3 linked regions of the Saccharomyces cerevisiae S288C genome follow. The protein of the gene in region 1 interacts with the protein of each later gene in a biochemical or structural test. Each region holds a gene or a part of one and is shown on either strand. Other genes may lie near its edges.

What was found. Proteins that work in one complex are often made in the same cells at the same time.
Region 2: the proteins of CMK2 (region 1) and TDA10 form a complex in vitro, tested with the Saccharomyces cerevisiae proteins (one large-scale study listed by BioGRID).
Region 3: of the proteins of CMK2 (region 1) and CMR3, one has a biochemical effect on the other in vitro, tested with the Saccharomyces cerevisiae proteins (one large-scale study listed by BioGRID).

Annotation. Positions count from the first base shown.
Region 1 is NC_001147.6:294,160-298,025, reverse strand, and holds CMK2 (calmodulin-dependent protein kinase CMK2), read left to right. Parts: upstream 1-1,905; coding exon 1,906-3,249; downstream 3,250-3,866. Other genes in the region: IRC10 (Irc10p), read right to left, coding at 1-948; ESC8 (Esc8p), read right to left, coding at 3,353-3,866.
Region 2 is NC_001139.9:907,225-910,585, reverse strand, and holds TDA10 (putative ATP-dependent kinase), read right to left. Parts: upstream 1,374-3,361; coding exon 501-1,373; downstream 1-500. Other genes in the region: ubiquitin-binding ESCRT-I subunit protein MVB12, read right to left, coding at 1-154; YGR204C-A (uncharacterized protein), read left to right, coding at 1,412-1,525; trifunctional formate-tetrahydrofolate ligase/methenyltetrahydrofolate cyclohydrolase/methylenetetrahydrofolate dehydrogenase ADE3, read right to left, coding at 1,812-3,361. UniProt on the Saccharomyces cerevisiae protein: ATP-dependent kinase whose specificity is not yet known.
Region 3 is NC_001148.4:584,132-587,426, forward strand, and holds CMR3 (Cmr3p), read right to left. Parts: upstream 1,455-3,295; coding exon 501-1,454; downstream 1-500. Other genes in the region: YPR014C (uncharacterized protein), read right to left, coding at 3,058-3,295. UniProt on the Saccharomyces cerevisiae protein: Probable transcription factor involved in the regulation of the transcription of genes involved in cell rescue and defense, as well as cell cycle and DNA processing.

The DNA of each region.
Region 1 (3,866 bases):
ACTTCTCAACAAATATTCAGTTTTTGCTGACGTTGTAAGTGGGAATTCGACGGAGAATGTTTTATCATCGCAAACGTTCTCACTTGTGCATGAACTTTTTGTTGTTTTTGATGTAGTGGCGTTCTTTCCCTTTTTATTCAATATCTTTTTCGATATATAGTGTAAATTTTTGGTGTCACTGTCTAGAGAAAGGAAAGTCTTTCTTGGTGTCTTTTCCCAATTTACAGATACTCTATAATTTACTGTCGTAACCGCAAAAGAATCCACTGAATCTAATTTTGACCATCTTATTGTTCGTTTGAAGGAAAAGCATAAAAATTTGCCGGTAAATTTTCCAATTTTCATACCGTCACCATGAAAAACTGCTCTTTTATCGTCAATAAAAACATTTGGAACATTAACGTTAGTTCTCAAATACAGAATTGCCTCGCCGGTTTTTTCATCCTTTACGCTCTTATATATGAGATCGTGGAAATGCTTGACAAACAAATTATTTAAATTTGCATGAGGTTCTGCAAATAGCAACATGTTGTTTTTAATCCTTCCAAGAACTTTTTTCATTAGTGCAAAATAGGGAGTGAAGACAGCATGGAAAGCGCTTTTTAACGTTTCATTCGTAAAGTTCAAACTGTTCACGGAACATTTTCCAGGCCAGTGGAATCGTACCCAATAAACAGTTGGACATAGAACTAGGACTGGCATACACTCTTCCATTTGGAGAATGGATATTAGTATAATGTAAATATAATTGATTTCATCTGGATGTCTCTCAAAGTCAGCAACGCTGATTCGTTGGATGTATTTGTTTGAACCTGCCAACAGCCTGAAGTACTCTAATTTTTGTTTGTATGTAGCGAAATTAGTAAATTTAGCCAATCTTAGCATGCCTCTAGAAAATGATATATTGATGCTTTCGAAGCCTGGTAATCTAGAGTATTCAATGAACATGATTGAAAAAGCACTAGGCCAGGTGATTATACCGCAGACTTACGGTAATATAAGGGCAAGAGAACTAAAAAAATCAATAATGTAGGCTTATATTACAGTTCTTTGTGAGATATTCCTTTCTAGAGCGTTTTCTGTGTCCACTCAATTAATATATACACTTCCCGTATCCTAACATTTACTGACACAATGATAGGCACAACGCGCGAAGGAGCGGTGGGGCTTTGAACAATAAGGACCCTTACATAGAAAAGGCGTTAGAACAACAATATGGTTAGGCCATAGAAACCTCGGTGTCTTTTAGGAACTTCACAGAATAGAACATACTGCAGTAGATATAAATACACCACTGGGGCAATGCAGCCTGGTTTTTTCCAAATATACAAAACACTTCATGATACTTACTAATGGTCGTTGATACAGTACTCATTGTATCATTGCAGGAGAGTTAGGTTGGCTTTTTTGCATTTATTTATTTATTCATTTACTCAATTGACAGGCAATGTCAATGATTTTTTGGAAGAAATTTGCCTAATGTTTTTACTCAGTTACTCACCGCTCCCTGGATAACATAAGGTTCATTTGCTTCCGTACTGATTTTTTTTGGCAGTCTATAAGCCACTATGTACTTCCCAATGCTCCTGCAGGCATATTCTTTTTCAATTTTCATGTTTTTACTTCCAGTCGTTGAGCATCATATGGATTCTATGTTGATGAGGCTTTTCAGAACGTGCTGTACTTTCGGAGAAGCGCCCGCTTTAACGCAGCGCGAAGAGAATAATTGAGGCTTATCTTAGAACCCTGCCCCCTTTGAAGCCACCCATTGCTGTTTCTCTTGGTAATCCTAATAATATAAAACAATACGATATTGTTCAAGATCAGCAGAACTTCAATTCGTTGATCAATCTTTTCGTCACCTTTTCTTCTATCACATCGCCAATATAAATATAGACACCAAAAATGCCCAAGGAGTCAGAGGTCATAAATTCTGAATTTCATGTAGATGTCCAAGATCCAGAGCGTCTAAACGGCCACCCTGTAGCAAAATTTATCAATAAATTAAGCGGTCAACCTGAATCTTACGTCAACAGGACTAATTATATTTTCGGTCGAACACTGGGTGCCGGTTCCTTCGGTGTTGTGAGACAAGCCAGAAAGTTGTCCACAAATGAAGATGTTGCTATAAAGATCTTATTGAAGAAGGCATTGCAGGGAAACAATGTGCAATTACAGATGCTGTACGAAGAGCTGTCCATTCTTCAAAAATTGAGTCATCCGAACATTGTGTCATTCAAGGATTGGTTTGAATCGAAGGATAAGTTCTATATTGTCACTCAGCTGGCAACAGGAGGTGAATTATTTGATAGAATTCTGTCTAGAGGGAAGTTCACAGAAGTGGATGCTGTTGAAATCATAGTTCAGATTCTTGGTGCCGTGGAGTATATGCATTCCAAGAATGTTGTTCATAGGGATTTGAAACCTGAGAACGTTTTGTATGTTGATAAGTCAGAAAATTCGCCTCTGGTAATTGCGGACTTCGGTATAGCTAAACAATTGAAGGGGGAGGAGGATTTGATATACAAAGCAGCCGGATCGTTGGGTTATGTGGCACCAGAAGTCCTCACACAAGATGGACATGGTAAGCCTTGTGATATATGGTCCATTGGTGTGATCACATATACTTTACTGTGCGGTTATTCTCCTTTTATTGCCGAAAGCGTTGAAGGATTCATGGAGGAATGTACAGCTTCGAGATACCCGGTAACCTTCCATATGCCATATTGGGATAACATATCTATTGATGTTAAGCGTTTCATCTTGAAGGCATTGAGATTGAATCCAGCTGACAGACCAACTGCTACGGAATTGCTGGACGATCCATGGATTACTTCAAAGAGAGTTGAAACTAGTAATATTTTACCAGACGTTAAGAAAGGGTTTTCTTTGCGTAAGAAATTACGTGACGCTATTGAAATTGTGAAGCTTAATAATAGAATTAAGAGGTTAAGAAATATGTATTCATTAGGGGACGATGGCGATAACGATATAGAAGAGAATTCCCTCAATGAAAGTCTTCTGGACGGCGTCACACATTCGTTGGATGATTTACGTCTGCAATCTCAGAAGAAAGGGGGAGAACTAACAGAAGAGCAAATGAAATTGAAGTCTGCATTAACAAAGGATGCCTTTGTTCAAATTGTCAAAGCTGCAACAAAGAATAAACATAAAGTTTTGGCTGGTGAAGAGGAAGACGATAGCAAGAAAACACTGCATGATGATCGGGAGTCGAAGTCAGAAGACTAAATTACGGACTTGAATTCGTGTACATAAATTCGTATATAATATTTAATGTGTAAAGCTAGTGACGATTTTATGTAACCAGCAGCTACACTTCATGGCATTCAAACTATAGACCTTTTCTGGCATTACGCCTCAAGCTTCTTTTTTCCCGAGAATTATCTTGTAGTTGCCTAACGGGTTCTGAGAAGATCTCTATATCATCACAATTCCTATCACAATCTTTAGCGCCATTGTGTAATTCTCTTTTCCCAAAAGATTTATCTGTCCTATCTTCACCTTTTCTTGTCAATGTATTCTCCTCACTCAGATATTCTGAATCATAGTCATCGCTAACGTCAATGTCAACTTCATTTTCACTTTCCTCGGAAACGTCACCATTTACATCACTCGAGTAATGCACCGTGGTTCTTCTCTGAGAGCTTGTTCGCAAATGACGTCCTTCAGTACTGCCTGTAGGGGCAGCAGTTATGCGCTGAATAGTCTCATTTATGAATATACTGAAAATTTTCAAAAACTCAATTAGATTGTCTATACCCTTTTTTGTATCATCGGTGTCATTTTCAGTAAGTGATGATAAACTTTCCAAATACTCAATGAAGTTGCTCAAAGAATTCGAGTCT
Region 2 (3,361 bases), on another chromosome or scaffold:
CGTACCAAGGGCATAATAAGTCCCTTGTTGGTTGTAGCGCTGGTAACTTAAATTCAGGCATCTGAAACCTAGTCACTGTTTCTTGTGGAAAATCCTTACCATATTTGTTGTAGAGGGGAATACGCCGTAGGAGTTCTTCAACATTATTGTTCATTTTTTTATGCGATAAGCTCCCATTGCTATTTTCCTTTCCTTTTTAATCTTAATTAATAGCAGTAATTTTTCCAAAACCGCTTAAATCTCGGACAGCCTCTGAACGGTATTTGTATAAGAAGGACAATAAAAGCTCTATAAAAGTTTTATGATGGATATGTAACAGATAAACAATTTTTTTTGCATACGACAATTATTCAAGAGTTGCCTTGTCAAAATTCTGAACCAAAAATACATGAAATCATTATAAAATTATCTGTTAGTACATAAAATAGAAGGGAAAAGTGAGATAAATTAAAAAAAAAAAAAAAAAAAAAAAAGGCGTAAAAAAAAAGGTCATAACATCACTATTCAATACATCTCGTTTTCGTAGAATATACATTCCTGTTGGAGTCGATTCCTAACGTCAATGTAGCAATGGAACCTAAACTTTCACTCCGGACAAAGTCGTTCAAATAAAGTTTATAGGAGGGCATGTATCTATCCACAAAAGCATGCACTTGTTCGTCGGTCATCCCCTTTCCGACCTTTGATATTAGTTCATGCTCCTGTTGTAGTCTCCAGCCATAAACATTGTTAATGTTATCGGTGGTGAATACTATCCCTAAAGATTTGATTTCTGGGTTGCGCCACAACAAGTCGCTATAGAAGAAGAGCTTGGCATTGACATCAACCATGTCCCCAGTAAGAAGATCATTATTCTCAATTCCTTGCAAAATGGGGTTGAACCCGAGGAACCAACCTTCTAAGATAAAAATATCGACTGGTAGCTTGATTTTTTGACCAGTGGGGCAACGGTCCCCTTCTCCTTTAAATTGGGATTTATCGTACTTGGGTAGTACGACAGTATCTTGATCCGGATGTTCATTATTATTGAAGATGGTGTTCAATACCTCTTGCAACAATTTCATATCATGAGTACCTGGTAAACCACGTCCTTGTAACAGCTTATTGTTCTTGAATTGCTCATTGAGTTTCAATTGGTCCTCGTGAGTTAAATAAAAATCATCAATTGAGGCGTAACCGATAGATTTTTCACCCCCATATTTTTCCATCAAATGGTTATAGATTTGGATACTTGTAAAACTTTTGCCTGAGCCTTGTGGGCCCGAGAAGAAAATGAACAAGGGGCATTTATTTCCCGTCTCAAACCATTCAGGTATATATTTATCCAAGAATTCTATCGTGTAGTCCAATACCGTTTTTGACTTATCACACATTTCTAGCTTTACTACTTTTTATATTATTCACTTCAGAGATGCAATGGAACGCTTTTTCCTTTGTGTCTTATGTATATCTTCGTTATTTTATTTCGTTCCGCCCAAATATTGTGCTAGCCAGTGTTCGCTTGTCTTGGTATAGTATCATTTAGATTGCTAAAAGTTTCATACATTTATTGTTCTCATTAATGCGTCTCCCCGCTTCGTTTGGTAATTAGGTTTTCTCCTCCTTAACGGAATCGGAAATTTTCGACGTTAAGGAACTGGGGTTAAATTAAAGGAAAAAGGGTCGCGGAACGTTAAATCCCCTGTGTAAAAAAAACTATAAATCATTATTAGTCCCAATAGTGTTCGTATTATCGTTATTATTATTATACATCCATACTTTAAAAAAACTTTTGCATTTGTCTTTATTAAATTCTATATAATTAAGTTGTCTTAGAACAGGCCATCGATCTCACCGTCATCATCGACTTCCACGGCCATGTAACCAGCATAGGTAGCCAAACCAGGAATGGTTTGTATTTCGGCGGCAAGAGCGTATAAGTATCCAGCACCATTAGACAATCTGACGTCTCTGATGGGGAAAGTGAACCCGGTTGGAACACCTTTCAAAGTTGCATCGTGGGATAAAGAGTATTGTGTCTTGGCGATACAAATTGGCAAGTTACCGAAACCTTGTTCCTTGTACATGTCAATCTTGCGTTGTGCTTCAGGCAAGATATCGATTGCGGCACCACCGTACATCTTTTGAACGATAGTAGTTAATTTGTCTTCAACGGAGGAGTTAACGTCATATAGGAAATGGAAGTCCACTGGTTGGTTGGAAGCTTCGATGACGGCCTTGGCCAAGTCGATAGCACCTTTACCACCTTCGGCCCAATGGTTAGAGGTTACGGCTTCAAATGCACCAGCTTCCAAAGCGGCTTTTCTAATGGCGGCTATTTCACCTTCAGTGTCAGTTTCAAACTTGTTAATTGCGACAACGACGGGGACGCCAAATTGCTTAATGTTGGCAATTTGTTTACACATGTTAGCGGCACCTTTTTCGACAAACTCGATATTCTCTTCAGTGTATGCGGAAGGTAAAGGTTGGCCAGGTTTGACATCTGGAGCACCACCGTGTGACTTCAATGCCCTAACAGTAGCAACCAAGACCACAGCATTAGGTGTCAATCCAGAGGAACGGCACTTGATGTTGAAGAATCTTTCACCACCCATAGTGAAATCGAACCCTGCTTCAGTAACCACATAACCAGCTTCTGTTTTTGCCTCTGGCTCGGTACCAACCAATTTCAAAGCCACGCGATCAGCAATAACAGAAGAGGCACCGATAGAGATGTTGGCAAATGGGCCGGCATGGACCAAGACAGGAGTACCTTCTAAAGTTTGCATCAAGTTGGGCTTGATAGCGTCTCTTAATAAAGCGGTTAAGGCACCGGTACAACCCACATCTTCAACAGTGACTGGAGACCTGTTTACGTCAGCAGCAACAACGACTCTTCCAATACGTTCCTTCATGTCCCTCAAGTCCTTTGAAAGAGCAAGAATAGCCATCAATTCAGAAGCAACGGTGATATCGAATCCAGTAACTCTTGTGTGGTTCTTCTCGGTAGGGGCTTGACCAATGGTGATTTGTCTTAACATTCTGTCGTTGATATCGACCACCCTCTTGATAGTAATAGTGTCCGGGTCAATGTTCAATCTGGCGAATTTGTTGATCTCTTCGGGTGTTAGATCATCGGGGTTGGTCTTTTGAATACCCAGTCTGTTCAATCTTCTTTGCATGGAGGGAGTAAACTTTCTCTTTCCGTTCTTTCTAGGCACTAGTCTGTTGTAGAAGGTAGCGTCGTTCTTTTGAGTGGTCTCATGGAACATTCTAGTGTCAATAGCGGCAGCAAGTAGGTTGTTAGCCGCACCAATGGCGTGAATGTCACCAGTCAAATGTAAGTTGAATTCGTCCATTGGGATGACTTGGGAATAACCAC
Region 3 (3,295 bases), on another chromosome or scaffold:
ATTCACTTGGCCTTACTGGCAATCATAATCATTTTGACGAACTGCGGACATCGAGAGTACCCTGCAAATATATCTAGAAAAAGAGGTAAAAAAATATTGAAGGGTCAACCTGAAAAAAATTGAAAAGTGAAAATAGATCTGCTGATAAATAATGCACGGCTTGCATCAAGTGATCACATGGAACTTTCCCAATACCTCAACTACGCATTTTCCCTTGCATATTATATCATCATCCATCTTCTTTGCCTCTCATATATTTACGAAATAATACATAAACATAAAAACGTCTTTGTGCGTCCAAGTAAACTTGAAGACGCACTCCCGTTATATAAAACTGGGAAGAACACTAACAAAGAAGGTGACTTGCGCTTAATTAGTTTTATTCCCTTGCTTCTAAAGTCCGTAAAACATTCTATTAGAGTCTATACATAGTTTTGCCTTACCTTTGAATATGAGTTCTAAAAATTCCATTGCAATAAAGCTTTCCGTTCCTATTGTTTCTATGTAGTGTTTAAGACTTTGTTTCTTTTCCTTTCATGGCTTTTCAAATGTCTCAGCATATTGCTTTTCACATTGAAGGATTTTGTGCAACCCTCCCAAGTACATTTGAAAGGAGTATCTCCCGTATGAATTAAGTAATGTGTCTTCAGCGTTGAGGGCCTCGAACAAATTTTTCCACATACTGGGCACTGCTTTCTCAGCTTTGTGGATGATATTCGGGTGTCAGTTTTCCAATCAGAAAATGTTGCTGAACCGTTCAACACGGCACCAGGTTCGCTTTTTGTTCTGCCGTTACTGGCTTCCTGCATGGTTGGAAGTACGCCATACCCAGGTGGGACTGATTTTGGCCTATCGTGGCATAGCTCTAAGGCAGCGTTTGGGTGACTCGCCATTGATATTGCAGTGAAGTTAGGTTCGGAGGCAATTGTTATTGGTTCTTTGTCGTATGGTGTCAATGGTTTATATACTGTTGGGACCATGACTGGCATCATCAAGGGAGCAGAGGAGGTCAAATGAGGAGACTGGCTATGTGGTATTGGTTGCTGACTTTCCGTATAGTAGATAGGATATTGATCAGATGTTGCGTTCATGGAAATTGGGGTGTAGATCTCATTAACAATGGGTACAACATTCATGCTTTGATAAACTTGCTGTGGAGGGAATTGAACCCTTGAATCTACGTTAGGTGGTGTATTATTTTCAAAATTAGGCAAAAGGGATGAAATTGGTGGTAAGTTTATTTTCGTACTATTATAACATTCCCGTTCATTTTTGTAGCTATTGTGGCCATAAAATTGAGTCCCCTTACCAGTGCTCAGCTGATCAACTGCGGACACTTGAAGGGGGAGGTTCGATTTATAATTGACTGTACACATTCCTATATTAGGAGATCTTGACTTGTCTGTATATGATGATTGTTTTTCTGAACTTTGCTTTGAAAGGGAAAAATTCATGTAATTTACTTTAGTGGCGTTTACTGCTATTTTTCGAAGGTAGGTGATGAACTTGTGTTATAACTAAGAAGCTCAAAACTAAAAGTATACTAATGTTTGAGGAATTATTGTGAAGCCATAGAACAATAAAAAGCTAACAATTGTATCTTTCGTTCAACTTGTCAAACCCTGACAGGCATATAAAAGAGGTATTTTGAAACATCAACATGTAGTAGTCACATATATAGCAAAATAGTAAGTAAGGAAAAAAAGAAGGCACAGAGAATACAACAATAATGATGAAGGCACACGACTGCCCTTTCCGGGCCACCTGCAGATCTGTAAGGTAGTTCAAATGACGTTCTCGCGCGGGTTTCTTACTTATGAAACTTTAGGGACATAAGTCGGGAACCTGATGCATCATTCTTTATCTTGTTTTTTGTTGTTGTTTGAGTTTCTTGTACAGAATAATACGCAGAATTAAAGCGGAAGTTAAAAAACAGATCGTCTTGATCTGCCCTCAAAACCAGTATCCACTGAAAACCTTATTTCCCACCGTAAATGGCAATCACTCGTAGCTCAAGGTGGAATGCTCCCGTAAGGATATTTCCTATATGAGATAGTCCCGATCCTGAGAAGAGGGATCGCCGTCATTTTATTCTTTAACCCCGAGAAACGGCATCTCTCACCTGATTGTTCTCAAGATTGCTGCAAAACCCAGATATACTTTTAGGTACGGAGCGTACGCGATGTATATGGATTGATTTTCACATGTATCGTTTATGAGTACTTGACTGCACCTCGTGTCGGAAGATTTTCCAATCGGGCTTTTTTTCAATCTTGAAGGCCCTCCTTTTCATTTCCATTTGCTCTGACATTGCGGCTATGCATCACAGGCAAAAGCTGAAAAGGAAATTTTGTAGCGTATCGGTTTACTGCACAGTCTCAGACCCTTTGTAGTACTGTTACCTGGAAGAATAGTAGGTGCGTACAACAGTGATTATGTAGTAGTATCTACTGAAGAGCCTACGAGCGAAAAAAAAAAAAATTATCGGCTACATTACGTTGTTTCCTACGGAGACAAGAACCAATATAAGCTGCAAAAAATCTATGAGCATTTTAAGTTTCCGATACAACAAGATGTATGCGTACTATTCACGTCGTGTTATATTGCTCACGTAACAACTTCTATGACAATAATAAAAAATAACCTTTCCATTGTATCATTAAGGTTATCTACGGAGGATTGTCAAACCTAGCGGATATGAAATGTACTTGATTCCTAATTCGGGTTTATTTAGAGTTCAGACTATGTGGGTCATTTCTTATGCTAATAATAGGCACTGAGGTAAGTCAAAATAGCGACACTCAATTACTGTTGAATGGGAAGAAAAAACCGAGAAAGGGATACAGAGATCTTGCCCACGCCTTTTTTTCAAAAAGAGCCCTTCGCAAGGTTGCTCAACGGGATTGTCATAGAAAGAAAAAATCAAAGCCAATAACTACAAGGCCAAAAGTAATGGTAGGGAGCTACTACAAAGTGGGCTCAGCCTACCTGAAGAAAATAAACAATTAATGGACAAGATCTGTTAGCGGACATACAAGAGATCAAATTACCTTCTGGTTAATGCTGTAGGCGAAGCAAACCATTCAATTGAGGAAACCTTATTCCCAATTGCGCTTTTGCTCCCTGGAAGCCTATAACAGCGTGTGGGCAAATAAAGTTGTTTTTCGCCCTCAGCGACTTTACTTCGGAAACTGAAGAGCGGCTAGAAATTTCGCAGAAAAGATTTTCCTTTGAGGATAGAAAAATGAAAAAAAGAAATTTATCTTTTTTCACAACAGGTGCTGCTTTTTCCTCA